3 linked regions of the Tamandua tetradactyla genome follow. The protein of the gene in region 2 interacts with the protein of the main gene of each other region in a biochemical or structural test. Links are inferred from orthologs where the notes say so. Each region holds a gene or a part of one and is shown on either strand. Other genes may lie near its edges.

Region 1 (10,453 bases), on a different chromosome or scaffold from region 2:
GATTCTGAGATCTGATCTGAGGTTAAATGATCTGTGAAAGGAGAAGCTGTAATTCTGGTCAGCTTTTGAAGGCAGAGATGGAGTCTTAGGTGGGGTTAGGGAGGTAAGTCTTTGATAGAGGTGGCTAGGGCTCAATAGGGTCTGTGAGGGCAAACACTTTCTGGAGAGACCTCTGATGGAGGATTATATGTCCAAACAGTTCTTCCTTGGTGTCTGGTCCCCTAGAAAGTGCTGAGGAAAGATACTTAAGGGTGTGGGAAAGGCGGAAGCCTCTGAAGGGTAGTCTCTGAAAAAGATACTGGGACCTTGAAAAAGGGTCATTTCCTAAAAGTAGATACTGGGGTTGTGTCTGAAGGACAATGTTGGGCCCAGAGAGTTTTCTGATAGAAGACAGTGGGCTAGGGTGGAGTTGGGTTAGGTGGGTCATTGAGTACAAATGCTGGGGGTGTCAGAGATGACATAGGAACAAGTCTTTAAGGGCTGATTCCAGGGATTGGAGGAATCTCTAAAAGCAGATGCTTAAGTGGGTGTGTGTCTCTGAAAAAAGTGCCGGCCCCAGGAGGGTCGCTGACGAAAGATGCTAAGGCCAGCGTGGGGTTGGGAGATTGATGAGATGTGAAAGAGTCTGAAAAGGAAGTCAGGCCCAATGGCCTTGCACAGGGTCTGTCTCCTCGGGAACTGAGGGCAGATAGTGTATGGGGTGGGAGAGAAGAGGAGGGAAGAGGGTGGTACATCTGAAGAAAGATGCTGAAGAAGGTTCTCTTTCAGGAGAAGTGATGGACTCTCTCCAGGGTTGGACCCCTCTTGAAAGCTGTGAAGCCAAATCCTGTGGGTCTAGGAGTGTGGAAGGGAGACTCTGTGGGGAGGTCTTTAATGGCATGCATTGGCAGGGGGCTTTAAACAACAATGTTGAGCATGGTTGTCTATTGGCGACTGGGGGTAGTTCTGATCTGAGATGCAAGGTACGGGACAGGGTGGTCAGGTCTCTGACTAGAGATGCTGGACCTGACTTTCTAAAAGCAGGTGCTGGGGGTCTGACCCCAAGGTCAGATCTCTAAGCTCGGGATGGGGGGGTTGGCCCCGGACAGGAATTGACCCCGCCCCAGGATCTGTTCCCCCGCAGCCGACCCTTAGCGACCAAGTCATTACCACCCGCTCCGACATCAGCCCGACCCAGTGCCGGCCCAGGCTCCTCCAATGCATCCCGAAACCCTTGCTCGGGGGAAGGCGATGAGAAAGGTCGTTTGTTACCAATGCCGGTTCCCCGGGTCGCGCCGCCGCCAACGCCTCAAGGAGCCGAAGCCAAGCCCGGCCACCGCCCTCCTCCTCCTCCCCGCCGCCTGGGCCGCCTAGAATCGCCGCCTGGGCCTCCGCTTTCTCCTTCCCGAGCCGTTGTGGTGGTGCTAGTCCCTGCCGCCTCCTTCACCTCAGCAGCCGACACAAGATGGCGGCTGCCGAGCCCGAGGCCGGAACAAAACCTTGGGCCCCACCCCCAGAAACCCGGATGCAAGCGGGCCGCGCCCACTTATGAATCATGAATGAGGTCTTCAACCCTTGTATGACTCGTACGGTTGGGAGGTAAATAGCTCCACCTGGTGGTTGATAGGGCACTAACTGGGAAAACAGGTAAAGCTACAAAGAGGCCTTGCCCCAGGTTACATGAATAATGAATTAGTTGCTGCAGCCAGGTTGCCTTAGTAACCAAGAAAGGACATCAGGACCATGCTTCCTGATCATGAATTATGCATGATCGGGTGGTTGATTGACTAACATTCTGCAACCAGAAAGCAGATGTTAGAACATGGAAGCCACACCCTACTGTTGATGAATAATGAATGATTTTGCAGCGGCCGGGAAGCCAACGAGACCACTTCTCTTATCCTTATCATGAATAACCCATGAGGCCTGGTGGGCTGGAACAAAAGGGACAGGCCCGCCTACTGCTGCATCTAATACCCTGTAAGCAGGGAAATAGGGCTACTGCAGGGAAAACACATTCCTTCAGGCCATGAATAATGAATGACGCTGCTGTTGCAGCTCAACGTGGAAACCAAGAGAGATCAGAAAGGTCCCACCTAGCTATCATGAATTATGCATAAAGCTGGATGGACAGACACTCAAAACAGACCCGCCCAGCAGGGAGGGATTATGGTTTTGCAGCCTAGTTGCCAAGGCAACGTGGCCACGCCTCCCTGTTCATGAATAATACTGCCCAGCCACAGAGAAAACCAAGGGAGAGTGAAGCCTCCCTTCCCCACCCTCAACAAACTGCTCATCAACCTGATCTGTTTTGGTTCAACCAAACTTGCCTTTGGCAAGTGCCTCAGTTTCCACAACTGTGAAATGGGGATAGTAATAGAACCCACCCATCTCAAAAGAGTGAAATGAGTTATTATGAAGATCAGAATGAGCTTAGAACAGCGCCAGCACAACGCACTAAATGTTAAATGTTTAAAATATTATATATTGTTTTGAAGTGCGCTCCCAGAAAAACACTGGAAAACAGAATGCTATGGCCACCACAGTCCACGAACTAGGTAGGACAGACTACTAGGTCACCAGAGACACACTGTATACCAAAGCTCCAGGCACATAATAAGCACCCAATACATTTCTGCTGAATAACAATAATAAATCACATTAACTGATTACTCCTGTCGTGTACCCTTATATATGCACCATGACACCGATATCCTCAGGAAAACCCTAGCAAGTTGGTGCTTTTATGAGCTCTGTTATATAGAGGAGGAAACAAGTTCCTTCTTGTCCTTCAGGTCTCAGCTCAAAGGTGATCTCCTTATAGAAGTCTCAAATCCTCACAAAAATCATTTCTGTCTACTGATTACTCTAGCTGTGTGACTTGGCGCCAGACACTGCACCTCCCTCCGCCTTGATTTCCCTATCAGTAAAATGGGAATAGTAGTCTACCTTGTGATGGTGTTTAAATGAATAAATATGTATAAGGCACTTAGAATAGTGCCTGGCACATAGTATAGTAAGTGCGATTTGACTAACATTAGTAGCAACACTATTACACTGGGGGAGGTGTAAATCATGGAATTTGGTTAAGATGCTGACTCTGGAACTAGAGTGAGTGGAATTTGGTTAAGATGCTGACTCTGGAACTAGAGTGAGTGGGTTTGAATCCTGGCTTGGTTACTCACTGGCTGTGTAACCTTACACAAATTATTTAGCCTCGCTATATGGCTGTGTCCCAGTTTCCTCGTCTATAAAGGGGATAATAATAACCTACTTCCTAGAATTGTTGTGAAGATTAAATGGGCTAACGAAGTGATAAATGAGTGGGTGTTGATCTTATCATTATCCTCATACCTATTTTTCAGGCCCACAGAAAGATTTGCCAAAGACCACACAACTGGCAAAAGCGATAGGATTGGAATGCAGAGCCTTTGTTGATAACCTGGAATACTGGGCTGTGAGGTATTACGAACAATGCGCGAAACCCCGCCCCTTTGGAACCTATACGAGAATCTAACCCTGATCACGTAAATGAAGCCACAAAGGCCACGCCCCTCGCGAATTATGACCAACGTCCCTAGAAAGGTCACAGAAGACTCAGGGCTCTACTCACCTGCATGAATAATCAATGAGCTCTAGTTTGGCGTGGCTGATTTCAGAACGCCCCTGCAGCACGCTGAACCGCCCCCTTATGAATAATTCACAACCCGACGCTTTCCCAGACCAGGTGCGAAAGAGGCAAAAATCTGCTTTCCCCACGGCCCCACCTCCTCATGAATAATGAATAAAGCCGCGGCCAATGGAGGCCTGGTGGCACCAAGTCCTCTCAGGAAGAGATTAGTGGATTGGGCTCCTGCAGCTCTTCCCCAGCCTGGGCTGGGGCTCCTCTCCCCCAAAACGTGTGGGCTCCGACGTGTTCAGTCTCGCTATCCTGGATCCCCAAGTGTGGGAGGTCCCCATCATGAAACCAGGATCACAGAGGCCACAGATCCTCCCTAATGCCAGCTCGGTCCTGAACGTTCCCAAGCACTGTCACGAGAACCCTAAAACCAACCCTCCTAAAATCCCGCCTTGACTTCAGGAACCTTAAACTCCTCCTCTCCCACCCTTGGGAAACACCCCAAATCCTGCCCCATGGACAGCGTACTCAAACATGGGCCCCGTAGTTCTCCCAAACACCCCTCAAAACCCTGCCTCCTAGGGGGGCTCCCAAAAAGATTCCCAAATCCCATCCGGAGTCCCCAAACACCACCTCCCAAGAGTCCCTGCCAAAACAGACACCGCTAAATGCCACCCACCCCGGGTATGGAGCCTCCAAATGTGCTCACTAGTGTATCCCCGAAGTTGAGCTCCCTCCCCCAAATGCTGTCCAGGGGATTAGGGTCACCATGCTCCAGCTCACCCCCTGCGCCGAGCGGAGGCCTCGCCTTCCTGCTGGAGATGAGCCGAAGCCACGGGGCAACGGAAGAGCAAACCACCTCCGTCTCGCAATAGGAGTGAGAGTTTGCGCGGAGCTCGGAAGCGCGGGGCCTTGGAGGGCCCCCACTCTGGGCCGTACCACAGACTCTTGGAAGGAGGGGTGTTCGTCCGTGCTCCCGCGCCATCGGCACCCCTGTCAGATCTAGACACCCCTACAGATTTTGGTCCTTCCCGGACGGCGCGGGGCACACTGGACGTGGTAGTCCCATCTGGCCAGTGTCTGTTGCACGTGGTGGGCAAGAGCGCCCAGTTTATGAGAAAATATAAGCTAGGGAGGTGAGATTCCCGGCACTGCGCTAGGGGAGAAGGGGGAAAGGAGCGGAACATGGGGGTGCCTCCAGACCGATAGACTCACCTGTCCTATAGATGGGAAGACTAAGGCTCAGGTAGCCAAAGGATTCATTCATTTGACATTTATGAAGCTCAAATTGTGGTCCAGGTGCTGGGGAGTCTCCCTTGGCTTCATGGAGCTGATACTCTAGGGAGAAAGACAGATCATAAACTTAATAAGTAAGTAAAAGTTCTAGTTTCACATATAAATATGTATCATAATAAACGTAATTATATGATATACATTGTATATGACATACATATAAATACTACATATTTTATATGAGAGCTAGTAGCTATAAGGAAAAAGATTTACATCTTTTTGCATATAATAAATGTCTTATAGTAAATACAGTATATTATGTATTTTATGTATTCACATGAATAAATATTATATAAGTAAACGTATCATTAACTGCTAAATGCTATGGAGATAGAAAAGCAAGAAAAGGAGAAGGAGGCATAGGGTGAGAGGGGGGCCGTGCCATTTTGCATTGCTTCAGCAATGCATGAATGAGAAGTCCTGTTTGTTCACAGCCTCACCCACAGTGTATTGCCAAGCCTTTGGATTTTTGCCAATCCGGTTTCATTTTTATTTGCATTTCTCTTATTATTAGTAAGCTAGGACATCTTTTATAGGTTTAAGGATTTTTTGCTTTTGTTTTTTTCTGGGAACTTTCTATTCGTGTCCTTTGCTTATTTTCTATTTGGTTGTACTTTCTATGGCTTTTTCTCCTTTAAAACTTCTTTATATATTAGCCTTTTTAAAATGAAGTTTTGAGGATGAGAGTGATTCAAACAGTTGTGGTATGTGTTTCCAAGATCTGGTATGTGCCAAACCATGTTCTAGGCCTTGAATAAAGCAAACAAATATTCCTTCCCTCTTGGAGCTTTCCTGCTAGTGGAAGAGATACATAATACAGAAAAGCAAGTAAAATGTATCTAGTATGTTACAAGTGGAGAAGTAGTAGAGAGAAAAGTAACCAAGGAAGAGGCATAGGGAGTGTGATAGGGGAGGGAATGGAATTTTAAATGGTGTAGCCCTGGCAGGCGAGATTTGAACATTCGAATGTCATGTTGCTTTAGTTTCCTTTAGTCTGGAACAGTTCTTCAGTCTTTCCTTGACCTTAATGACCTTTACACCTTTGAAGATTACAAGTCAGTTATTTTGTAGAATGTTCTTTGGTTTGAATTTGTCTGATGTTTCCTCATGATTAGATTCAGGTTTAATATCTTGCATGGAAATATCCCAGAAGTGATGCTGTCTTTTTATTCCATCCTTATTCCATGATTTTAACATTGATCCCTTTTAACTTTGATCCCTTGATTAAGACAGCATTTTTGCCAGGTTTCTCTACTGTAAAATTACTAATTCTCCCTTTGTAATAAATACGAAGTTAGTTGAGACATGCTTGATATTAATAAAATTATGTTAATATCCTGTTCCTCGGTAAAGTTTAACAAGTTTTACCATTCATAAATGATTTTCGAACTCCATCATTTGTTCTGAATTATTAGTTGGCATTCTACTGTAAGGAAGAGCTTTCCTTTCTCCATTTACTTATGAGTACAGATTTACGGATTCTTGAATTTTATCAAATTGTTTTTCTGTGGTTGAGGTTATGTTTGTTTACTTTTAGTCTGTAAATGTACAGAACTACCTACATAGCTTCTCTGATGTTGACCCAATTTTGCATTCCTGGGAAAAACTGATCAAAATATATTTGCTAAATATACTATTGGATCCATTTAGCTAATATTTAATTTTTGCTTGAAATTTTCTCTTGTATAGTCTCATCTCTTTGGGGGATCAAAATTACAGTAGCCTTATAAAATTACACAAGACATCATTCGTTCTTTTCCTAATATGTAATTTTTAAAGAAAATCTATTTGTACCTCTAGAGCAGAAATAGGTAATGGCGCAAGTATGTGCAAACCATACTTCTATGAAATGGATCCTCATGCCACACTCTTTTTCAATACAGACTAGTTGCTGTAACATTCCTCTCTGATTTTCAAAATCCAGTCATCACAGATGCTTCTGTTACTCAGTTTTAATGAGCTCAGGCTAGTTAATGACTCATTTCTTTTGTCAGTTTTCTTTTCCTCAATAACTATCAAAATGTATCCTGCCACTGTCAGGGCAATCATTTATATAGCTGATCTTCACCTGGATCTTGTTTTTTACAGCATCGAGTATCACAAGGGAGACAGTTTCTGGGATTTCATTTTCTTTTTTAAAGTAACCTATCAGGCTCTTCCTCCCCCTATCTATAGATTTGTGGAATGGCACTCTGTAGGTTTAAGAGTGGGATGGAGTTTTTGGGCTTTCCTGTGGTTTGGTGCAAAATCCATTTATTCTCTTCAAATCAGTCCCTGGCCCAGGACAGGCAGCCCAGCTTCAGTTTCCACTGCACATGATTGGGAATTCCAGGTGGCTGATTGGCCAGCAGTGAGCGTTAGAGATGAGGAAGGATCTCTTTCACATAGCCTGAAACATTCCTATTGCTAGGCACAAGCTGCGGAGACCACCCATGACCATTTACCCAGTGAATAACATCCTCCCTACCCCTGCCACTGCTCTATCACCATAAATTTGTTCTGCCTAATTTAGAACTTTACATAAATGGAATCATACGGTATGTACTGTTCGTGTTTCACTCTTTCACTCAACGTTGCCTGTGAGATTCATCCATGTTAATATTTGTATCAGTATTTTGTTCCCTTTTATCGGTGAACTATATTCCATTGAATGAATATACTGTAATTTATTCATTCTCCTGTTGTTAGATGTTTCAGTTGTTCCCAGTTTTTGGCTATTATGAATATAGCTGCAATAAACATAAGGTACAAGTCTTTTTGTAGGCATGCGTTTTCATTTATTTTGGGTAAATAAGAGTGGAATGCTGGGTCATAGGGCAAGTGTGTGTTTAATTTTATACAAAATTGCCAGTTTTCCAGAGTGACTGAACCATTTTACACTACCCCCAGACATGTATGATAGTTCAATGTATGAGGGTTTTCTGCTGTAGGATTGCAGGTGCTGTGCTCTGGGGGTAGGAAGAGGGAATACTGCATCTTCACCAAAAGGTACACCTATCCTGAGACTGAGGTGGCCTCTTTCTAGTCCTATTTCCTCTCCTCATTCACACCTCCTCCTTTCTGCTTACTTTCCCCTTCCTCTCCTTTCTCCCACCATTTCTCACTGAGCAACACCCACCCCCTCTGCCCAAACCAGCACCATTGCCTCCTCTAGGGGCCTCTTCTCACTACTCATCGCACACAAATGGTTGGGAATGGTGGCACAATGCATATTAAGTGGGGGGAGAGGCTTAGTGCCAAATGATCTTCCTACACCATTTTCCTTCCACCCTCCTCTCAACTCACCACCATGTGTTTCTGTGGGGAGAGGGGGGAAGTGCGTGGTGGTGGGTCCCTGGTCCCATTTCACAGTGCAGTCCTCCCTGGCCCAGAGGGGGAAGCCCAGCTTCAGATTCCACCGTACATGACTGGGAACTGCAGGTGGATGATTAGCTGGCAGTGACTGGGGAGGGGGACACCATGGTAATAATCGCTCAAGATTTGGACTGGAGGGGATTGGGGAAGATGCCAGTGCCCCATGGGAGCATTCCTAGGACCTGGGATTGGCAGACACTTTAGACTCCAGATTGTGGATCAAGTGCAGCTGGGGAGCCATGAGGCCAGGGATGGGGGGATTCTGAGTTCCTGGAGATAGGGGGAACAAGACTTGGAAGCCATGGGGAGCTCAATTGGATGAGGTGTCCCTGGTCCTGAGGGATAAGACATTGTGGGAGCAAACAACCAGAGTGGGAGGATTTGGAAGAACTTGAAAAATCCAGCTGCTCGAGGATGGGGATTTTGTGGATGGAGATGGAAGCCCAGGAATGGGTGTGACCTCACCTCCATGTCAAGACAGCCTTCTCTATCTCAAACCCCCTGGGGTCATTAGCCTGTCTAGGGCAGTGGAACTGATTTGACAGTGCCTGCCGTATTGACTTGGAGATGCCCAACGTTACTTACTGTACCCAGGCCCAAGGATGGCAACGTACAGTGTAGACTCCAGATTGTGTATCAAGAGCAGCTGGGGGGCTATGAGGCCAGGGATGGGGGTATTCTGAGTTCCTGGTTCTGTAGAGGCAGATCTAGGGGTACTTCAAGCCCAATGGTACCCTGGTGGTGCTGGATTTCCTGGTACAGAACGGCCTGCTGGACCCTGACAATGGTGAGAGGCTGTAACCAGGGTCTTGGGGGCACCAGCCAGAACCCCACATTGTCCCCACCTTCCCAATGAGCTGATAGTCACCATGTACCACCACTGCCCCGCACCTCAGCCTGACAAGGTCCCTTGAACATCTATCTGTGTTTGTGTCCCTGTCAATATGGGGACAAGAGGAAAAAGAGAGACATGCAAGCTGTAGACTTTTCAGCTTTTATTATAAAAAGAACATGATCCCAGCCCAATTTTTCAATAAAAATCACCAGCTCAAAGTGTGATTTGGTCAGGCCTCCCTGGGTGGGGAGTGGGCTGGATGGTAGAAGTAGGGACTCCTCAGACTATCCAAAATTTCATCCTCCCCTGCCCCAGGATGGACACCCAACATATGCAGAAATTGATCTCCTGGTTGCTCACTGGGCCTCATTGAAGCGCGTCACCATTGTCTTGTGCAGTGTCTCCTTATAGGACTCTGTTGAAGTAACCCCATAGGAGCTGCCCCGGGCACCCAGGCCAGAGCCCCGTACCCGGGTCTGGGCCTGTATGAAGGAGACAGGTTCTGTCAGTTTAGTGGGGAGATGGGGGCAAAATGGGGTTGTAGTAGGGAGGACTGGGGATGGGGGGTAGGATCATGGAAGCCTCACCTCAATGGGCGTTACAATGCCCTGCTTCTTGCGGCCCAGGCCACTGCCTTCTTTCCAGCCCATGGCCTGGAGCATGCGACTGCCAATGTTGTCGCTGCCCAGCCCATCTCGCGTGGGCTGCTCAAAGTCCCTGCAGAGGACAATAGTACAGTGTGAATGATCAGCCTGCTAGCCTCCAGGCCCTCTTCACCTGGCCCTGGACACTTACACAGAGGCCGTAGACATGCCACCATACTTCCTTCTCTTGGGCTCTGGCGGCTCAGGGATGCCATACTTCTCCCTGCGTTCAGCTGCACGGTCCCGGTACTTCATTTGCTGCAAGTTTTTGTGTGTGTGTGAATTGTGGGGAGATGGTCACTATGCATAGTAGGTTGGGGAGAGGGGCAGGGAGATAGGGGGAACAAGACCTGGAACCCATGGGGAGCTCAATCGGATGAGATGTTCCTGGTCCTGAGGGATAAGACATTGTGGGAGCAAACAACCAGGGTGGGAGGATTTGGAAGAACTTGAAAAGTCCAGCTGCTTGAGGGGATGGGGATTTTGTGGATGGAGATGAAGCCCAGGAATGGGTGTGACCTCACCTCCATGTCATTCTTCTCTAGTGCTTCCAGCTCATTTTCTGACAGGTGGGCTCGCCTATGAATCTCAAGGTTTTGCTGCAAGAACAGGAGGAGTTAGCTGCTGGGGTGTATCAGGCCCTAGGGTTCCCTGCCCACCCTCCTTGTGGCTCACCTTGTGGAGTCCCGAGAGCTGCTGGTGCCGGATAAGTGCCTCCTTGCTAGGGAA
Region 2 (10,874 bases):
CAAACAAACCAAAGCAGAGAAGTGGTGGCCAGGAGTTAACCATCCCCTCAGGCGCTAGGAAAAGCCAAGCCTCTGGCTCTCCGCCCAAGTGCCGTGGCCCCCCGCAGCCTCCCGGGCCGGGCGCCTGCCTCCTGGAAGCCAGACCGGCTGAGGCAGGTGCAGGGCTCCGCTGTGCCCTTGTGGCCGGGGGGAGGGGGCTGGGCCGCCCCCCGCTTCTCTGCCGCAGAGAAAAACCCAGAACAAACACGGAAAGGGAAAACGGCCTAGAACGGAACAATCAGAGGAGGAGGGAAGAGAACACACGAACCTCCCGTGAGGTAGAGTCTGTCGGCGTTGGGCGAGCGCGGACCGATACAGTTCCCGGTCCCAGTGTGAGGTAAAATTTGTAAGTTTATTTTGGCCGGGGGTGTCAGGACTCCTCATTGCCTGAGTCGTCCTCGTCGTCCCCGAAGCAGCTGTCTGCCTCCTCCTCCACCTCGCCGTCCTCATAGTAGTCGTCGTAGAAGAGGTCCGAGCCCTCGTCCGGTGCCGGGGCCTTGGTCTTCACGCAGTACTCAGCTAGCGTGGTGGGCACCTTCACGCCATCGCGCTCCGCGTCCACCTTGGTCCCCAGGACCTGCTTCCTGGGGGGGACAGGGCAGTGAGGTGGAGCCTGGGGGAGCGGCACCCAGACCCCTGGCCCCTGCCCGTGGGCCGGCCCCCTAGCGCATCCCTTCACACAGTGCCCTAATGTCGGGCTGTCAGGTGTGCCCAGAGCCCAGGCCGCCACGTGCACACACACACATCCAGAACACACCCAGGTGCACAAGGAGGGCACAATGTCCCGTGGAGGGGGCTGAGCACACCCGAGCAGGCCACACGGCCTGAACGATGACAGCCAATGGCCAGGGGAGATGCTGGTCACAACGGGCAGTGTGTTTCCGGAGACCACGCTCATGAATGCGGGGTCCACGGGACCTCCTCAAGAAGGCACCGCCAGCACTGCACGGCATGGTCAGTGCAAGATGGGCTTCTATGCGGAATCGAGACCTCAGCAAACTCAACTCAAAAGACAGTCATCAGGTGCCACACACAGCCTGACCTCATTTCTCGATAAAAACAGTCCAGAAGGGTAGAATGAGGTGTCGGTTGCTAGGTTATTACAGATGATGGTGATTCCCCGTTTTAACTTCCATCTTTCTATTATGAACGTGCCTTCCACCCGAAGCCTCGCTTCTGCAGCTTCACTGACATGAACGGCACAGGGTGCCAGCACTTCACCTGGTGGCGGGCATCCTGTTGAACCCCTCCCACCCGGGGGCAACCCCACTACCCGACAGCCACCGCTGAGGAGCCTGTGCTATCCAGAACCCAGGCTGGGCTCACGTGTGAGCATGTCCACTCAGCGTGAGGGTCGAGGGATGTGTCAGCACCAGCCATTTGTGTGGCCGCACCACGGCGTGCTCGCCCCCACCTGCCGCTGGATGGTGGACGGTCCCAGTTTGGGGTGATGAGGAGGAGGTGAGCAGCTGCGAAGATCTGTGTGCAAGTGTCCATGGGGCGTGTACGCACGAGTGTCCCTGGGGCATGGATGCCCACTTCTCCTGGGTGAGCATCTAGGAGAACAATGGCTGGGTGGTGCAGTGGCTGTGTTCAACATTTCATGTTTTTGATAAAAAGGTAAACGATGAACAAAAAACATTTAGAAAGACCATAACGAAGGGTTAAGTTTGTCATAAAGCAACTTGGTAAACCCCAGCTGCACGTGTTTACTCACTGAACAATAGATAATGGGCACAGGAGGCAATTCACAGAAAGCAAAAAAAAAAAATCAAAAACAAGCAAGAAGAGGAGGTTCAACAGCTCCAGAGGTGTGAGCTGACGACTTACAAAACAGTTTGGTCCCTGGATCCAGTAGCTATGCTACCAAGAACCTATTTCATAAGACTCCTTCACACAAACATTCACCTGTTTGTTCATAAATTTAACATGTTGCTTTTATAGCTAGAAAAAAAGTGGCTTTTCATAAAAGGTTCTTTCTTAAATATGCTCATGTTATGTTTTTTCTTCTTTTAGAAAATCACTCCAAGTTTAAAAACTACAAATATAAGGAATGTTCCTGGCACAAAAGAAACTAACTGCAGAAAGCATCATCTTCATATCGCGTGAAATCAGCCATGGCTGGCGCGGCCACGCTCTTGCCAGCAACGCCAGGAACACCAGCCCTGAGGGGTGCGGGGCATGTCACTCGGGTCTCTCGATTTTGTGATGAAACAAAGCCACGGGACAAAGCCCTGTTAAGGCCTGGTGGTGGGTGCCTGGGTGCGTGCATCTTCCAGACTCTAGAGTGACTGCCTCAGTGGCCTGGCTGTGACCCCAGGTGAGGGGGCCGCAGGTGACCAGCAGTGTGCAAGGTTTCAGCCAGCATGGCCCTGGCCGGCCGCCCCCGCCACCCCTGATGCCACCCCTGCAGGAAGGAGCCCGCTCACCGGATAATGTCTGTGTACTCCCGGTCCTTCCCTTTGCTCTCCTTCCACTTCCTATACATCACGGAGGCATCCACATTGGCCGGCGAGAAGGTGTTGGGCTCGTTGAGAAGGGAGATCACACTCAGCAGGATGGTCCTGGGGAGCAGTGGGCCAGCGCTGGCCTCAGGGACTGCCCAGAGTCTTGGGGCACCCAGCCTGCGGCAGAGCTTGTGAGCAGGAGCTGGGCCTCAGGTGGCTGCCCCTCATGGGGAAGCCTGCAAACCTATGCTTCCTGGCTTCTCAGGGCCCAGTGGGGGTAGGGTGCTTGGACACCCATGAAGTCAGCACCCCAGCCACCCCTGCCAACCTGAACAGCCTCTGGCCTCTGCAGGACCTGGAGAGCCAGCCCTTGTTTAGGTACTGCCCAGAGAATGCCCCCAGCTCGGAAAACTACCCTGAGACCGAGGGACACCCAGAGAGGCAGTGTTTCCCCAGGGACTCGGCATAGCGGAGCCAAGAAGGGGGCCGTGAGGGTCCTCACCTGACATTCTGGGTGGGATTCCACCGCTCTGACGGCAGCTCCCCACTCTGGGGGTCGTCAACTGGTGGGTGGAGAATGGAGATGCACACGTCCCCCGTCTGCGTGAGGGTGGGAAGGGCAGGTGTAGGTTAGAGTGGCCCCAGCGCCCCTGGCCACTCATGGCCCCAAGGCCCCTCCATCAGAACTGCCCACTGACCACCATTTACAGGTGAGAGAACTGAGGCCACCATAGGAGGTAGGTATCAGCTCACCTCGTAGATGTTTGGGTGCCACATCTTTGTCAGGAACCGAAATGCAGGTGGTGAGTACGGGTAGTCGATAGGGAACTTGAGGCGAGCCTGTGGGAAGGGGTGCAGGGGTGCGGCTCAGGGAGGCTGTATCACAGTGGGCGCCTGACAGAAAGGCCTGACCCAGCCACCTCCAACTACAAGCAGCAGCACGGTAGAGTGCACAAAGTACCTATGCCCACCCCACGTGGCCTCAGGCCCAGCTGGCCCCCGTAGCCCAGGGTGGCGCAGCTCCGAGGCGTGTCAGGTGTCTGGGCCCCAGCTGCGAGTGTATTGGGGTGGCCAGCAGCAGCAGACAGCTGGACACGTTGGCAGGGGCTTGGGCCACAGGGTCCCTTGAGCAGTGTGCCCAGAGCAGCCATCAGCCTTCTCAGGGCTGTCTCCCGAGCTGGGAGGATATGCTGGGCTGACGTTCCTGACCCCTCCTGTGGGCACGGAGGTCACCAATCATTGTGACACCCCCACAGCAGTGCTTGTTCTTAACCAGTGCTGGGGGGTCCTGGCAGTACCTGGTCCTAGGACTCTGCAGGTGAGCAGGAAACCCCAGGCCCTGCATCATAGGGGCACCTGCTTTGGACTCTGAGAGGGGATACTGGGGGGGGTTCTGTTTGTGGGGGACAGGCATGAGGCCCTGGGAGGCAAGAAGTGGCAAGGAGCTGGGGCTAAGGCCCCACCCAGCACCTTCCAGGCCCTGCCTGGCCCCTCAGAGATACCCTTTGGGTATGCTTTGGGCCCCACAAAGGGAAGCATGCACCCTGGGGCCACAGACTGGCCTTTCCCTCAGGTGCCTGCTGCAGAGCCCACCTCTGTCCCCCACAATTTGCAAAGGAGAAAGGAGTAGGAAGGGTGGTGGCTTGGGAGAGAATTGCTGCAGGAAGTGTTTGGGAAGCTGCTACAGCTCCCAGGGAAGAGGGCCCCCCTACAGGGAAGGGCCAGCAGGTGGCAGCACACCCTCTGCAGCAGCCCACACAAACAAGATTACCCCCTCAAGGCCAGCTCCCAGGAGGGCCTACCCAGGGCCGTTGCCAGGCAACAGCAGCCCACAGCCTTTGCTTCCAGACCAGCAGTCCCCTCACAGCCCTGGCCTGACCCCAAGGTGGGATTCTGGGCTACCCCTACTGTGAGTAGAGCCTTTTTCATCAAGGCCAGCTGCTCCCCCAAGCAGACGAGAGAAGGCAGGGAACCAAGACAGCACGCACTTCAGCCCCAAACCTGTTCTCTGCAAAGGGAGGCCAGATTCCTGGGGCAGAACTGAGCAACAGGAACCCAGGGGTGCGCCCAGGACTGTCCACACTTGTCCAGGGTCCCTACCACCCCCTACATCTTGTTTACCCCAGAACTTGCCCAGCATTAAGGGAACCTCACCCACCAAGCCAGGCCACAGCCCAGGGGCCACCTTTGTCCAAAGTGCAAATGCAGGTCTGAGTGAGCTACCCCAACACCCGGCCCCGCCTGAGCCGGTCTCTGCCCCCACCCCCAAGGCAGGCAGGTGTAAGAGGGCACTCCTGCTCTGGGGGCTCATTCCTCCCATACCGGGAGGACCCACCAGATGGAAACTCCCCTGGTTTGAGCCCAAATCCCTTGTCATCTTGGACGGAAACAGTCTGCTCCAGGGGTGGCACGGCCTCCCAGTCCCAACCACAAAAACAGGAAGGAAGTGAAACCACGAAGCCTGAGACAGGGACCGCCTGGAACTAAACTCTAGAGGGGCCGAGATGTGGACCCCAGAAGCCGCCCGCCCAGCGCCTCGCAGGCGACACAGAGCCGTGAGCCTCCGCCAAATCCTGGGAGCAAGTTATATAAAGCTAGGGACAGGCTACAGCCGGGCGGGCCGCTGAGAAGAAGGATGGCCACTCTCCAAGCCGGGGCTGGCGGCCCAGGCCCGGCCAGGCCTTTGTTGGGACTGAGCCAGTCGCCCCAGGCAGGGCCTCCCGCCGCCCCACGGGTCCCATGCTCCCCAACAACAGCAGCTCGCAGGGCCGGGGAGGCCCTTTGTCTCCTGGGGGAGGGTCAGGGAAGGCAGCTGCCTGCAAAAGCCGCCAGGGCGCTCCTCCCTCCAGGGGCCGGGCCGAGCCGTCGCGGGGAGAGGTGAGCAGGAGGCCCTCGCCCAGACCAGGCAAGTAGGGTCGCGAGGGGCGGCCGGGTCCGGGTAGAGCTCACCTTGAAGTAGCCGCCCTCGTAATAGGTGTTGGGGGGCCCGAAGATAGCCACCTCCCAGTTGTACAGGTCGCCCTCGTCCACCAGCGTCACCCGAAAACCTTCGACCGGCTCCTCTTGCAGCCCCTTGAGCTCGAGCAGTAGCGCCTTCTGCGAGCTAGGCACCAGCGGCCGGGCCATGGCGGCGGGGGCGGCGGCGGAGGGGCCAGGGCCCGGGACCGGGGCCGGGGCCGGGGCCGGGACCTGAGGAGCGCTGGGCCGCGGGGCTGCCGCGGGCTCGCGAGACGGGCCGGGCCGCGCGCCGGCCGAGGGGGAGCCGCCGGGGCCGCCGCCGCCGCCTTGCTGCTCTGTGCCTCCGCCGCCGCCGCCGCCGCCGCCGCCGCCGCCGCCGCCACCCGGAGCTCCCGAGCGCTCCACTCGCTCTGGCACCGCCGCCGCCCGCCCGGCCCTCGCCTCGGACCGGCCCGCGCGCCCCGCCCCGCGCTGCGCCTGCGCACCGCGGCCAGGCCCAGACTACGCCTGCGCACCCGCCCGCGAGGCACGCCGGGAAGCGAGTCCCCCTCCCCGGCCCCGCCTCGCGCCCTCAGCGCGGCCGACGGGAGGGAGGGGGCCGAGCGCGCAGGCGCCTTGGCGCTTCCGCCGCCCTCCGAGGCCGGGGCTCCCTTCCGCTTGTACGAGCACCCCGGATGCCTGTGCGCGGGGAGGCGGGCACGGTTGGGCTGCACCGGCCTCCGCGGGGCCCTCCGGGGCCTTGGGGGCCGTTTTTGTGACGTCCCGGCAGGGGGCGGGGCCCAGAGGGCGGGGCGGCCGGGGTTGGGGTCGCTGCCGGATACCGGTGAAGTGGCGAGCTCCCGAGCCTCGGTTTCCCTATCTGTAAAGAAGAGGCGCTCGCGCCAAGTAGACAGTGTCAGAGGGAGGGCAGCGGTCTGCAGACGCGGGTCCTAGACGGAAAATCCTCAGTGTCTGGTCAAACGGGGCGCTAATAACGCTCGGGGCAAGACTCGGGCCTGGGGCGCGCGGGGCGGGGGTCCTGCGGGGCCGTCCCACTTGGGGTAGGACATGCTGGAATCAAATCATGAGAGCCTGGGGATGAATGGAGTCCTCCTGGCTCGGCGGTCACCCAGCAGCAGTGACTCAGCGGTTGACTCCGGACAGAGGTCCCTCCTGATCCAGCAGCAACCCTCAGACTGGCCCCTGACTCCTATCCGATCCGGGCTGAGTCTGACCCCCGACTGAGCTAAGACCATAGCTGAACCTTGACTCCAGCTGAGCCCTGACTCTGGCTGAGGCTGACCTCAGTTGAGCCCTGACCCATCCCCCCAGCTCTGACCCTGGTTGAGCCCTGACCATGGCTAAGCCGGGAACCCTGCTGAGCCCTGACCCTGCTGAGCCCTGCTGTAACCAAAAAATGAATTAACAAATGATTATGATTGATGAATTATTATGTAGATGTTTTTTTCTTTCTAGATTGTAGAATAGACAGTTAATCCCTGAAATTACTGGAGTTCAACAAGTCCTAGCCCTGTGTGGACTCGCTATTGTGATGGTAAAACATCTCTTGTTTGAATCCATAAAAAACGAACTCCATAGACTCCAGGAGACAGGTTTGGGGACTGATAGGCTTTCTGCTCTCCTTCTTTGCGCCCAGCATTAAACTCTTTCTCTCTTTGAAACCCTGCTGTCATGGATTGGCTCTTTTGCCTGTGGGGCAGAGAACCCACCAGGATCACTGACCCCAGGTGACCCCTAACCACAACTGAACCTTGACCCCAGCTGCTCCCTGACCCCGACTGCACCCCATGCTGAGATCTGACCTGGCTGAGTCCCAACCCTGCCCGGGTTTGCCTGGTCACTTGGGCATGGAGGGGGTAGGGTGACAGTTTGGTCTGAGGGCCCCCCTCCCCCGCAGGTGTGACCTTGTGGCCTGTTGCCATGGTGACCCCCCTCTGCCCCATTGCCCTCAGCTGCACCAGCACCTCAGCTGGCCCTAGGGACACGCCTTCCACCAGGTGCTCTAATACCTGGCCCCCAAAGGACAGGCAGGACAGAAATCAAGGTGGTCCCAGAACTCAGGCCTGGTTCCCCCAATTTAGCTCCCACCCATAGCCCCATGTTCTCAGCGGAAGTCCTAGGGCTGTGTCTCATTGGCTGGCTGGGAGTCACATGCTTTCTCCTGACCCAATCACTGCAGCCAGGCAACTGAAAGGCTCTGATTGGCCAGCAGGGGCTGGTGGCCACTTAGGTGAGGATGCTCAGGTGGGGTGGGGGCATGGGCTGAATGGGGTCCCCCCCAAAAGGGTACAGTGAAGTCCTAACCCCTGGCACCACTGTATAGGACCTTATTTGGAAATAGGGTCTTTGCAGATGGAGCTAGTTGAGATGAGCTGGGCCCTAAGCCCCCCATGACTGGTGCCTTTGTCAGGGTAGGGGAGGTGGTCGCAGGGATCAGAGTGCTGCAGCCATAGGCTGAGAGCACGGAGGCTGCCAGCCCCCAGTGCTTCCGAAAGTCAGGCAAGGTCAGGGAGAATCCCACCCACAGGCTTCACAGGGAGCATGCATGCCCCTGCTGTAACCTGGGCTTCAGACTTGTAGTCTCCAGAACGGTGACAAAGTAAATTTCATTGTTTCAAGGCCAGTTTGTGGTCCTCTGTCCCAGCAGCCCCGGGGCCCTGGCACAGGCAGTGAGCAGTGGAGAGGCAGAGGGGCAATGGTGTAGTAAAGAACCCGTGTTGTGGCCAGTGGGGGTGGAGGGGTGTGTGTGCATCCGGGTCACCTCCTGAGTGCCTGGTCACTGCCTTGGTGCTCGGGTGGACAAGGGGCCCTCCACGAGGCCAGAGACTCCTGGGAGAGCCGGGATGGGGTGGACTGAGCAGAAGCACCGAACTGGACCCAGCAGGCCTGGGTGTCCTTGAGATGTCCCCATGCAGACGTCCAGGAGGCAGCTGGCTCCTCCATGTCCTGGCCCGAGATGTGAATTTGAGTCCTTGGCCACCAGGTAGTAATTGAAGCCACAACTTGGCGGGATGCCAAATAGGAGGGCATGGGACGGAGGAGAGGCCCTGGAAGGTGGTGCGAAGGGCCTCCCACCAGAGAAGCTGGGAGAGGGGACAAACCTTCCAGGGGGCTGCAGAGGGGCCACCACGGGAAGGGGGCAGGACAATGTGGGTGGCACGAAAAGAGGGTGTCAGCCGAAGGGGCAGGGTAGGGTGTTCATCACTGCTGCCAGGTCAGTGAGGGTCAAACCAGGAAGGGGAAGCTGGTAGGGGAGGGCCACGCAGGGTGGTGGTCCTGAAGCTGGGAGGGGCTGCTCTAGGCTGAGCTCCACGGACAGGCACAGGGCGGTGTTTGTGTCCTCTGGTCTGTCCCCCGGAAAGAGGCACAGAGCCTTGTAGGTGCTGTGGCCCCCAGGGGTGGGGGCAGCCATGACTCACCAGAGCTGCAGAGGGACCCTGGGTGGGCACCATCAGCATCCACTGGGAGTCACCCCAGCCCCCTCATCACTGGGGAGCAGGGTCCACCCAGGGAACTCGAGTCTGCTGAGATCCCCTATCCCTGTCCAGGTCTCTGGGACCTCAGTCCACCTGCCTGTAGGCTCCCTGAGGGCAGGGACCCGTCTCGCCAGCATCGCTCCAGCCCCTACCCCGTGGGGGCTAAATCTCTACTGCTTCTGGAATGTGTCCTGTATGTGGGCACATGACACACAGTAATAATGGCTGATGCTTGCAGAACTGGGCACTGTTCATCAGTACCCCAGGTACTCACTGCTGCTTAACAAAGCACCCGCTGTGGGCTCGGCTCAGGGCCCTGCAGGGTGGCACTGCAGGTGGAAGACCTACCTGGGTCTGGGCATCCTTGCAGGTGGGGCTGCTTCTCAGGGCAGCCTGGAAGTCACAGCGTGCCGAGTCACCAAACCACTCCAGCTTGGTGTGAGCACATGGAGGCCCAGTGGTGCTCTGCTGCTTAGGAGGAGCATGGGGGACTAGAAAGGTCCAGGCCATTTTGGGAAAATGAACGATATCACAGTTCACTCACTTGCTCATTCATTCATCACTCGCTTTCAGTCACTCATTCATTTGCTCATTCACTCAGCCACTTGTTCATTCTTTCACGCCCTCATCCACTCACTCATTCACTCATCCACTCCCTCACTGCCTACCCTATCCTACACCCAGTGCTGGGAAGTGGGGGGCACAGGGTTAGCTCCTGCCACGATGCACCTTGTAAAACATATCAGAACAGGGGCTGCCCTGAGCCCTGTCTAATAGAGGAGACTGAGGCAAGGAGTGGAAGCCACGTGCCAGCCATCACTCAGAGCTGGGACTCTGACCCCGGCTTCGCTTTCTGCTCTGCACACAATTCTGGGCCCAAGAAGTGATCCTGCTGGGGGAGAGGGGGCACCCAGGGGTGCTTGGTGAGCATCCACCAGCTTGCCTACACGGTGGGGCGTTGGAATCTGGGTACATCCTCATGGCAGGTGGAGGCAGAGGAGGGTGTGGCTTCTGGAGCCAGGGGAGGGCAGGGTCTGGATTAAAATCTTGGCTCAGCCTTTGCATTTGTTGACTTCAGGGGTTAATTTCAGTGGTTTGGACAAACCCTGGCCCCAGCACTGCTGCTGTGGAGGGCCTGTACATGGGTCAGCATCTGTGGGTAAAGGCGGTGGCCCATGATCACGTCGGTGGGCTCCACCCAATCAGTTGAGGAGCCCAAAGAGCAAGCTGTGGGCTTGCTCAAGATTTCAGCATCACTCTTAATGGAATTTACTCTTAATGGAATTTCCAGCCTGTCGGTCAACCCTATCTGGGGATTTCAGATTTGCCAGCCCCCCAGCCACATGAGTCAGTTCCTTAAAATAAACCCGTGGACTTGCACGCAACACATGCTGTTGGCGGTTTCTCCAGAGAACCTGGCTGACACGCTCTTCTCACCTCGAGCTCGGTTCCCACCTGTACTCACGGGGCCGTGGTGAGAGTGAAAACAGCGCAGCAGAGGCTTGAGAGCTATGCTAACCACCCTCTCTGGCAGACAGCTGGGAAACCAAGGCCAGGGAGGACCCAGTGGGCAGGAAGCAATAGCCTGTCCCCTTGGCCTCCTGAGCCTCTGGGGGCCAGGGCAGCCAGGCAGCTTGCCGAGCATCTCCCTGGCCTCCGCCCTCCATCCCCCCGATACAGCCAAGCCGGGGGAGCCCCGGCACTTGCAGGAGACACGACCGCCTCTGGGTGCAGCGGGGCCTGCTTATGGGGGTCCCTGGCCCACTGCAGGCAGGGATGCAGGGACAGACACGCATGCCAGGGGCTGCCTCCAGGACAGGTTTTATTACTGCTGGGCAGGATGCAGCCAGTGTGTGGGGAGGGGGGGTCCCCACTTCACAGGCTCCTCGGCCCCGCCCCTGCATGCAAGGACGCCCTGCCTCTGGTCTCAAATCCGGGTTCTGCCCAGCAGCAG
Region 3 (10,761 bases), on a different chromosome or scaffold from region 2:
GGGGGTAGGGAGGTCGGGCGGCTCGGCTGCTGCGGGGCGCGTGCGCCGCGCGGCGGTCCGGCGGAGAGAGAGAGGGGGTAGGGAGGTCGGGCGGCTCGGCTGCTGCGGGGCGCGTGCGCCGCGCGGCGGTCCGGCGGAGAGAGAGAGGGGGTAGGGAGGTCGGGCGGCTTGGCTGCTGCGGGGCGCGTGCGCCGCGCGGCGGTCCGGCGGAGAGAGAGAGGGGGTAGGGAGGTCGGGCGGCTCGGCTGCTGCGGGGCGCGTGCGCCGCGCGGCGGTCCGGCGGAGAGAGAGAGGGGGTAGGGAGGTCGGGCGGCTCGGCTGCTGCGGGGCGCGTGCGCCGCGCGGCGGTCCGGCGGAGAGAGCCAAGAGTTCGGTTTTCATCTTATCTCTTTCCTGTCTCATTTCACTATAAGCCGCAAGGAGAAACCAGGCTGCACTTTTGACATTTAGTTTGGAAATCTCCTCTGCTAAATATCCGAGTCCACGGCTTTTAAAATCTGCCTTCCAGCCAAAGCCACTAATCAGCTTTGCCAGATTATCTGCCATTTTAAAACAAGGACACAGGTTTATAGTCACAGGTTATAGAGATTAGAATGTGAACATTTTGGGGGACCTTCCAGTCTCTAGTAACACGTGCCTCATTTCTGTCTAAGGCCTCATCAGAGGTATCTTCAAAATCTATATTTCTACCAAAAAATGATATTTTGATTAAAACATGGCTTTTCTAGGGGGCATACTTCCTTTCAAACCAGCACAGATGCTAAAAATAAAGGCATAGTTTCTGCTATGGTAGTAAACAGAACATTGTAAAATAGATGTTGAAAACAAGAAATTGCCATGGCTTTGATTCTTTTGGTTTGATACAATTGCTCTTCTATGATAGAGACAATTTTTATGAACACAGTTCTCTGAAAGTGATCTATGAAAATCAGATTTGAACAAAGATATGTCTTGGATACAGACTAGGTTCTATTCAGTGCAAATTATGAGGACACTGGCACTACCCAGGCTGATGGTAGAAAATGAGAATATAACCTTGCTGCTCTTCTTAATCCCTGATATCCCATTTTAAAAATTACTACAATCTCATGTGGGAGACCCAGGTTTTATTTCCAGCCCATGCACTTTCTGCTCCACCCCCCACCCTATCCCTCTCCCCACATTCAACAAGTGGTGCTGCAATAACAGGATAGTCACATGGAAAAAGAGTGAAATGCTACCCCCACCATACAGCATGCAAAAAAAAATTACTATAATCTTTACTTAGGCATAGATATGGGAAAGTGAAACATCAGTTATTAAAATTTCTTATCAAATGGTTGAATGCTTTGGAAGAGATGATACTGAGAGGTGGGTAGTTTATCTTCAGGAACTTAAGCTTCTTTTGGAATCCTTTCCTGCAGGTAGGCAGAGAAATGGTCCCCCAAAATGTTCACATTCTAATCTCTATAACCTGTGACTATAACAGTTATGTAGTGTTAAGGATTGAACTGTGTCCCCTAAAAAGACGTTTAAATTTTAATCACTGGTCCTGTAACTATGACTTTATTTGGAAATAGGATGGTGTGATTAGTAAAGATGAGGCCAAACTGGAGTAGGGTGGTTCCTAATCTGATCAGACTGGTATTCTAACAAGCAAGGAAACTCTGACACAGAGAAAGAGACAGGGAGAGGAATGACCATGTGACTGAGCCAGAGACTGAGCTATTCTGTAACAAACTAGTAGCCAGGGGAGATATGGAGGATATTCTTCCCTTTAAGAGAAGCATGGCCCTGATGACACCTTGATTTCAGAGTTCTAGCCTTCAGAACCATGAGACAATAGACTTCTGTTGTTCAAGCCAATTAGTCTATGGTACTTGTTACAGCAGCCCTGGCAAACAAAGACAGGTGGCAAAGGGAAATTAAGGTTATAGATGGAATTAATATTGTTAATAAAATGACATTGAGATTGGGGAAATTACTCCAGATTATCAAGGTGGGGCAACATAATCTTAAAGGTCTTTATAAGTGGAAGAAGGAGAGAGAGGAGAGAATCAAATAGATGGTAACATGAACCAAACTCCTACCAACTGTTGCTGGCTTTGAAGACTGAGGAAGAAAGAAACCCATTAGCCAAGGAATCCCGGCCGCCTCTAGAAGCTGAAAAGGCAAGGCCACAGATTCTTTCCTACGAGCCTCCAGTTCTGCCAACCCTTGATTTTAGCCCAGTGAGAACTGTGTCAGACATTTGACTTACAAAATAGTAAGATAATAACTTGGGTTGTTTTAAGACGCCAAGTTTGTGGTAATTTGTTATAGCAGCAATAGGAAACTGCATTTACCTTTCCTGATAACTTCTGTCCTCTCCCTGGAGATTCTAGGCACTGTCTTCCGGACTTTTCTTCCTTTGCCCTTGAGGATTCGATATGACATTAACATCTTAGTATATGTCACTTACCACTCCATACTTCCATTTTACGCACTTTCTCTAACAAAATCTAACTATATAATTTATCCTTCATTAAGGAAATTTAGGAATAATCAAGTAGGTGGAGAACAGTCTTTCGGAAACAGAAATTATCACAATTTCTCCTAAATCATTTTAACTAGACTTCTATCACCTGATCAACCTTCATAACAATGAATAGTATAATTTTTCAGGATTTAGTAGTCCAGCCCTTTTTAGTTTTCTTTCCTCCTAATGACCCATTTTTTTTCTGGGCTAAAATGAGCTGCACTGATTACTTATGGATACATTTTCTGTGTCAGCCTCGTCTAACTACACACTCAAACAGGATGTGGTTAACTTTGTATTTATTTTGACTTTCTATTAATTTGCTAATGTTCCTCAATAAGAAATTAATATTTAAAAGGTGGGGACAAGCATTGTTGCTACACAATTCTGCCTGTGCCAAAAGGGAAATGAACTTGCCGGGTACTTATTCTCTTACCTCTGCTTAGTTTACTGGCCCAGATTGGTCAAAACCTACCGCTCAAGAGTTCAGCATTTTTCCGAACCTGCACGGACTTTCCCCAATATCTCACAAAGCTTCCCTTCTCTGCCTGCACTACACTGATAAATGCTTTTATTTTCACAGCAACTCTTCAAGGAGTGTACCGAAGGGGTTGACCTTGACAGAGGTTTCCAGCGTGAATTCCTGACTATCACAGAGTTGGGTTTTCAATCATTGTTAGGAATTTACTTTTTCCTAAGTGTAAACGGTTTATTTTTAGGCTCAATATTCTAAATTTTGGACAGCCTACTACACCAGTGTTAAAGACGACGTAGTATCCTATTAAGTATATACAAATAGGTGTATAGTTTACAACAGGTCTAGAAACGTTCCTCTCACAAACCTTAACTTGAAAGCCCAAGATTTCCACTTGGCTGAAAACTCAGCTCTCCTCCTTTATAGGCAGGGGTTTTGCTTATTAAGAGAAAACCTTACTCTCCTCCGTCACATCTTTTAGTGCGGACTATCGTTTCTCTGCGACAGTGAAACACTGGGAAGAGCAACTTGTGCCAAGGTCACCGGGGAAGCGGCAGAAAGCTAGGACAAGGCGGGCAGCCGGACTTCCGGGAGGGGTCCGCGTCCAGCAGGGGTCCCGCAGGCCCCAGACGTTCCTCAGGACGGTGGACCAGTCACCGGTCGCGGGAGACGCGGCGCTCTCCCGAAGCCCGCTCCTGTCACAACGTGTTGCTGACCCGGGACCGAGCCGCCATGGCCACAGACCTTGACCGGGGCTGCAGCGACTGCCAGCCGGGAAAAAAGATGACTTCTCGACACAAATGTAGGCCGCTAGCGGGTGTGCAACAAGTCACTTTTCCAGCATCGCTCGGGGTGCTTCCGGTTCCCAGCGCCGCCCCTCGGCTCCACCCCCGCCCGGGCTTCCTCCCCACCCCCAGGTCAGTTTCCTCCTCCCAGCCGCGGCGTAGGGCCCCCCCCCTTCCGTTCCATTTAATTGTTGGATTGTTAGCGCCGCACTCCCGCTGGCGGCCGGCAGGGGGCGGAGTTCAGGCCTGGACTTCCCCTCCGGGCGTTCCCGGGGAGAGCGGTCGCCGAGTGGGGGAGGGGAGGACAGGGCGCGGGGACGCGGTTCCGTCGGCGTCGGCGCTACATTTGGGGACGACTAGGCGAAGAGGCTGCGGCTGCCGCATCAGAGCTGACGTGGGGGCTACGTGGGTCCGCCGCCGGCGCCAGCGCGGGGTTGCTGGGTGGCAGCGCTGCTCCTGAGCGGCGGGCCCGGCTCGGCGTCCCCACCTCCTCCCGTCCGTAATCAGTGACGAGGTCCGCTACGTAAACTCATCGCGGCGGGTAAGTTGCGCGTCTGCCCCGGACCTAGAGACCTAGGAGTCGGCGACGCGGGAGCAGGAGGCGGAGGAAGGAGGCGGAGCGGAGCCCGGGTCCGCGGCCCGGAGGGCTGGGGTTGCGGCGGGTTGGCTGGCGGGCACCCGGGCTCCGGGCTCCGCCGAGGAAGCGGCGGCGGCGGCGGCGGCCGGTGTCCAACCCGGTCGCCAGCGGGAGCGGCCTCCGGGACCGAGGTGGGCCGTGCTCCGGGCCCGCCAGCAAGACCAGCCCCGACGAGAGCACCGCGGCCCCAGACGTGGCTCGTCCCCAGCTCGGCGGCCGGGCGGCCCCGGGGGCTTCCCGCTCCGAGTCCGGCGCCTCCTGCCAGACGCCACCAGCCGCCCGGCCCAGGACTGGAGCCCGCAGCCTCCGCAGGCCGACCTCGCCCGGCCCCCTGGCCCTTGTGGAGATGCGCAGCGCGTCCGCTTTAGCGCCCTCGTCCACCTCGTTCCTCCAGTTGGCTCGCTCGTTGCTTTAATTTTAATCAGATAACTCTCCTAGGCCTGAAACGGGCTCGGCAGATTTCTAAGTCCTCCTCGACTTCTTCTGAACTTGGGAGAAGTCGGAAAAGCCTTATTGCTCTCATGAATGCGGTTCTCACTCTTTGGAAAGGGGGAGAAAAGAAAAAAAAAAAGAAACGAGAATTGCGAATGTTGGTTTTGTTTACCGCAGCCGACGATTAATAACATCTTCGTCTCAGTTTTATGTACTCGGTCTAGAAATGAATTGACGTGACCCATTTCTTCTGAAATATGAGTAAGAGGGGCATCGCGATTGAATCTCTTGAGTCCGGACACGATAGGTCTGATGAGATACTGCTTGTGAAGGAGGAACAAATCCGTTCCAGCTGGTAGAAAGCGCAGTTTCTCTTGTTCTGATGTTTGCCCTTTTAGGGTCACCTAGCAAGGTTCCTAGAACCTGTCGAGTAGGGAATAAGTGCATTATTCAGCATAGTTCTTCATCCTGCTATCCATTACGTGTATACCAGAGCTCTAAATTGGCAACCACTTAGACGTTTTCTGCGTTGTGTTAAATAATGCAGTCAAATTTTCAGAAATTTTGACTTACATGGTCAGCCCGGAAGTCTGAGTAAAAATTTAAGAGCCTTTCTTACAGTGTGGCTTACCTACGTGATTTGTATCAAGTTTCTGCTTATTTGCTAAACTGATGGAGTGCAACCACCTTCCCTTGAATATAATCCTAGAGGCGCAGATCAGGTATGAAAATTGTATTAGGTTACATTAATTATTCGTGTTCTCTGTCTTGTAGTTATTAAAAACTAACACCAAGAAAACCTGAAAATATGTAGTTTAAAACTCAAATTCAAATGCCTATGATTAATGTCATGATTTTTGAAATACGATTTTAGATCATGATCTCAGTATATTTGCAGCTGTTTTGTATTGTTAAAAACAAAGGTGTACACAATATCTCCAAGACTGATCAATAACTTTTTATTTCAAACAGTTACAATTTTTTTCCTTGTGGATGCTACATTTTTTTACTACTGTTGATCCTCTTTCGTGGGTTACAAGTTTCTTTCCACATAATAAAATAATAGCAGCCTTTAAATCTTTGAATTTAAAAGTAACTTAAAAAAAAATTCCCCCTTCCCAGAGGTAGGTAAATTTCAAACAATGTTTTGACCAATAAATGCTAATTAAGTATTAATAAAAATGATTTTTAAAGAATTACTTATTGATCCAAATACAATTAAAAAGACATATTTAAATGGTTTTGATATGAATGAGTAAAACAAAGTATTTTCATGTTAAGTGTTGATAATCACAGACATTTTTGGTGACTCTGAAGGGATCAGTGTAAGCATATGCTTTCCTAGTGAGTTAATGGTCAGCGTGGAATCATTTGGTTGAGTGTTCACATGTATTTACACTGGTATTTTGTATCCCTATTTTTGTAAGACAATGTGAATAAATTTTTATTAAATGTATAAATACAGGAGCTTTTTTAGTCTTTGTTTTTGCATTGTTACTGAAATTTGCTTCTACTGATGAATTTAGCAAGAAACAGGTCCCGTAGGTCTTCTGGTTTTCTACTGTATTCTATTTTCCTATTGAGGGGAGTCATTGCATCATTGACATATGAAGTCGTCTTTAGAATTATGGCCATTTCATGAAAATTAAGGAAGGGTTTCAAATTATTAATAGACATAAGGAATCCTGGACACATCTTTACCGGTACAGCTAACCATTTCTGAGTCTGTCCAAATTTATATTTTCTCCAAGTAAACATTGGGCCAGAAAATTGAGCCAGCTTTATTGTTGGAATAATGTATTGGAAAGCTCTCACATGTCTTGTACCTTCTATATAGATTTCTCAAACTAAAACTGAACAATGCAAACACTTAGCTAAGCCATTGATATTTTGATGTACTGTCAGCATTGATTGCTAAGGAAATAAGCCTGAAATGTCTGAATTTTGTTAAGGGTTTATACGTTATGAAACAGCTAGATTCCATGTAGAGAAACCTACTTTGAGAAGAGTTATCATGTATCAAATACAGTTTCGATATCAATATTATCAGTAGGGAAACTTAAAAATACAGATTCCAGGGAAAATGTATCTCATCTGTTACACATAGGAAGAAATAAACGTTTTTAATTGCTAGGTTAATTTTTTATTTTTCAATTTTTAGTTTTAATTTTGCTATAATTTTCAAATATTTTTATTGAGAAATCTTCACACACATACATTCCACTTATGGTGCAGAATCAGTGGCTCACAGTATCATCACATAGTTGTGTATTCGTATCATGATCATCCCCTAGAACGTTTGCATCACTCCAGAAGAAAATAAAAAGAAAAAAGAAACTCATACATGCCATACACTTCACCCCTCTCATTGATCACTAGTATTTCCATATACTCAATTCATTCTAACCTTTGTCTCCCCTATTTTTTTTAAATCCATTTTGTTTTACACATCTGTCCATACCCTGGATAAAAGGAGCATCAAATACAAGGTTCTCACAGTCACACAGTCACTTTGTAAACATTATATCTATACAGTCATCTTCAAGAATCAAGGTTACTGGAACACAGCTTAATGGTTTCAGGTACTTCCCTCCACCACTCCAATACACCATAAACTGAAGAATACCTATATAATGCATAAAAATAACCTCCAGGATAACCTCTGGACTGTTTGAAATCTCTCAGCTACTGAATATCTTATCTTGTCTCATTTCTCTCTTCCCCTTTTTGGGCAAGAAGGCTTTCTCAATCCCTTGATGCCAGGTGTCAGCACATCCCAGGATTTCTGTCCCACGTTGCCAGGGAGATTTACACCGTCCTGGAGTCATGTCCCACGTAGGAGGGAGGTCAGTGAATTCACTTGCAGAGTTGGCTCAGAGAGGCCACATCTGAGCAACAAAAGAGTTTCTCTGGGGATGACTCTTAGGTATAATTTTAAGTAGGCTTAGCCTATCCCTTGCAAGAATAAGTTCCATAGGAACAAACCCCAAGACTGAGGGCTTGGCCTATTGATTTGGTTGTCTCCACTGCTTGCAAGAGTATCAGAAATTCTCCAAATGAGGAAGTTGAATATTTCCTCCTTTCTCCCCAGTCTGCCAAGCGGACTTTGCGAATATTTCTTTATTCATTGCCCACAGTACTCTGGGATTTATTGAGAAATCCACTTACCTGAGCAGACCAACCAAATCTCAGGCCCTATTCAAGATTCCATAATAATTTACTTTTAAAGAATAGAAGGGCATTTAAAATATGTTTTACCATGGAAACTGCACAATAAAATATCCACAGAGTATGCTGTTATTAAAAGTAAATGTTTCCACTCCCAGGTTTCCTTTTTTTGTGTCTCTAGGATATCCAGTATAGAATAAGAGAATGAAGACAAAAACTTAAAAATGACATCAATGGAAATTTATCTTGATAGTACCCTTTTTATTTGTTGATGCATGAGTCGGTAATTGATATTACTGTCTTGAAAACATCTCAAGTCCTATTTGTATAAATCAGTTATAGCAAAGTGTAAAAAATAAAACGATCTCTGTTTTGTGTATCTCATGACTGACCTTCTCGGGAGTGTTAGAGGAGACTGCCAGCAAGATGTATTTGAAATAAATTTTATAAATAGGAGGTAAGCAGACTGGTTTTATGGGAAGTTTTGTGGAGTTTTGCTTAAAGATTGCTTTAAAAAAACTCTCACTGATAAGGAAAGAAATGCTTGTGCTGAGAAACCTTTCTAGCAATTCCTTCAGGTTCTTTTGAAGGCTCCTGGTTCTCCAAAGTGCAGACGGTCTCCATGCATGCTTTTTAACAAGGCCTGTTGAATGATACAACCAGGCCAATTAAAATGTCAAAATAAAATCCTGTGAAATTTTAATAGTGGGATATATGTGATTCTAATATATTATTTAAAGAATTTTTACAAAAACTCAGTTTCTTTAAAGTTATTTTGGTGAAGCATTAAAGTTAAGGTGATCTCAACTCAAAATGTCATCCAGTTTTGTTATCTTAAAAGAGCCTCAATTTTTGAGCCTCGAGTTTTTTCATTGATAGCACTTTTTTTGTTTTGTTTTGTTTTGCTTAGAAATGTTTTTAACAGGAATTTATATGCCATAATTAATGATGGTTAAAGATTCCAGCTCTCGAATTGGGGCAACTATATCACAGACAAAAGATCCATATTATGTATATAGACACTGGGATGCTTTTATTCCATTTAAAATTAGTAGAAGAGTTGAATTTAACTTAATTAGGCATTTCATTTTCATTAGAAAAATACCGGTTTTGTTGAGACTCAAGATAGGACCAATCTAGGTAAGTATCATACGTTGTATTTCATTTCTCTGAACTTTAGCTAACTCAAGTGTCTTCTCTGTCCTTTTCCAGATTCACTAATTAGTAATTAAATGCATTTATACCTGATGTGTAGATAAGTATTTTGGAATACATTAAAAATTCAGTAATGAAGCATGCTTTTGAAAAGAAAAACCCTACAATGACTTCTTTAGTCAAGCAAATAACTCCACTATAAAAATTTGTGGGATTTATGTGTGATTTTCAAGTGATGGTAGAGATTAGAGTGGAGATAAACCATGATTATTTGAATTTCATATTTCATTTCTCCCTAACAGCTGATTCTGCTGTTCATTGACTGTAAAATAGCCAAAGGCAGACAGGGGTGGAGGGAAATTATAAAAGAAAGCGGCACTTGAATAGTTAATTGTTTGGTGATTTTAGTAAAGAGTTAAGATTTCTTAAATAATAATAGGTATATCAAGCAATTAAATTGAAGTAGACTTTAATCTAATTGGCAAACCTCACCTCCTGTTTTTATTTATGATTTATGTTTGAAATATTAAAGACCTTATTTACAAGAATTTGAAATACTTATTTATAGATAGTGCTCCTGGGAGCTTCTATTTCTACACAGAAGCGTTAAGATTGTTTACAATCTTTATTTGAAAGTCACTCTAGTGTTGCTTTACAAAAAAGTACAAAACATTTTTAAGTGGTATAATTTCCTATTACTACCATCTCATTTTGTCTTCCTTATGCATCTTCACCTGAAATCTTTAATAGCTATAGGCACATTCCTATTAACTTTGGGTATATAGCTGCTAGGAATTACTTCTCTCTCCTAGCTAGCTCCCTCTACTCCCAACTTTTCAAAGGACTTGGTTGAGAATGACAAGCTTTACAATAATGAAGTCATTTTCTTCCCTTATTTTTTAAAACTTGCTTGCTGTTGCTACTTAAACTATACTTGAACTATGAAGATTTCCTACTTTCCAAAAAAACTTAAGAATTTGCTTCATCCCAGTACTAAAGGAAAATATTGTACTTCTCTTTCTCTTCCTACTTCCATAAAGAGGTGTACTGCCTGTTATTTCATATTCTGTGCTGTAGCCATTTATATATTTAGTAACTGCTGGAGAGATCTGTGGGCTGCTTAGACTTTTGTCACTTCAACTAGATAATATCTGTTGTGCTTAACCTCACTGGTGGAAGGGGAGAAAGATAAACATTTACAAATAATAAATTTCCTTCTATAATACTGTTTTTCAATTCCATCAAAGGCACAAAAATTATTTTTTTATTTGAATAATCAGTTTCATTGTAGATTTCTTGACAGTTTTAATTTTAGAAGTAGCAAGCCATCATATAAACTAAATAAAGAACTTTATGTCTATCAGGATGAACATGTTATTAACCTTAATTGAAATAGTTTATAAATTTTAAACACTGTTATATTTGACATTACAAAGTGACTGTTAGGTTAACCTCTCTTTTTTGCCTCATGTTGTTTTAGTCTTTTGTTTTCTTCCTCCTGATTTCTTAAGTATATTACAACTTTTATCCTGGAATCTCAAAAAGCTACAAAAACAAGGCCCAAGGAGGAGACCAGCTTTGTCTTCTACTCTAACTTTTCTCTAGACATTCC

The links.
Region 1: of the proteins of CDC34 (region 2) and UBA1, one has a biochemical effect on the other in vitro, tested with the Homo sapiens proteins (7 studies listed by BioGRID, with this or other methods). The link is inferred for Tamandua tetradactyla from reciprocal best matches to the Homo sapiens genes CDC34 and UBA1.
Region 3: the proteins of CDC34 (region 2) and CUL2 form a complex in vitro, tested with the Homo sapiens proteins (2 studies listed by BioGRID). The link is inferred for Tamandua tetradactyla from reciprocal best matches to the Homo sapiens genes CDC34 and CUL2.

Annotation. Positions count from the first base shown.
Region 1 is NC_135353.1:123,056,235-123,066,687, forward strand, and holds the start of UBA1 (ubiquitin-like modifier-activating enzyme 1), read right to left. Parts: upstream 4,529-10,453; 5' UTR 4,382-4,528; intron 3,421-4,381; exon of another isoform or gene 3,334-3,420; intron 1,479-3,333; exon of another isoform or gene 1,252-1,478; intron 1-1,251. Other genes in the region: RBM10 (RNA-binding protein 10), read right to left, coding at 9,437-9,562, 9,668-9,797, 9,876-9,982, 10,249-10,323, 10,400-10,453. UniProt on the Homo sapiens protein: Catalyzes the first step in ubiquitin conjugation to mark cellular proteins for degradation through the ubiquitin-proteasome system.
Region 2 is NC_135337.1:82,391,280-82,402,153, forward strand, and holds CDC34 (ubiquitin-conjugating enzyme E2 R1), read right to left. Parts: upstream 5,650-10,874; 5' UTR 5,613-5,649; coding exon 5,436-5,612; intron 3,327-5,435; coding exon 3,240-3,326; intron 3,087-3,239; coding exon 2,989-3,086; intron 2,664-2,988; coding exon 2,469-2,663; intron 1,627-2,468; coding exon of another isoform or gene 1,596-1,626; exon of another isoform or gene 636-1,595; intron 624-635; coding exon 410-623; 3' UTR 373-409; downstream 1-372. UniProt on the Homo sapiens protein: E2 ubiquitin-conjugating enzyme that accepts ubiquitin from an E1 ubiquitin-activating protein, and catalyzes its covalent attachment to other proteins by an E3 ubiquitin-protein ligase complex. In vitro catalyzes 'Lys-48'-linked polyubiquitination.
Region 3 is NC_135327.1:216,102,413-216,113,173, reverse strand, and holds the start of CUL2 (cullin-2), read right to left. Parts: upstream 4,045-10,761; 5' UTR 3,717-4,044; exon of another isoform or gene 3,340-3,716; intron 2,395-3,339; 5' UTR 2,325-2,394; intron 1-2,324.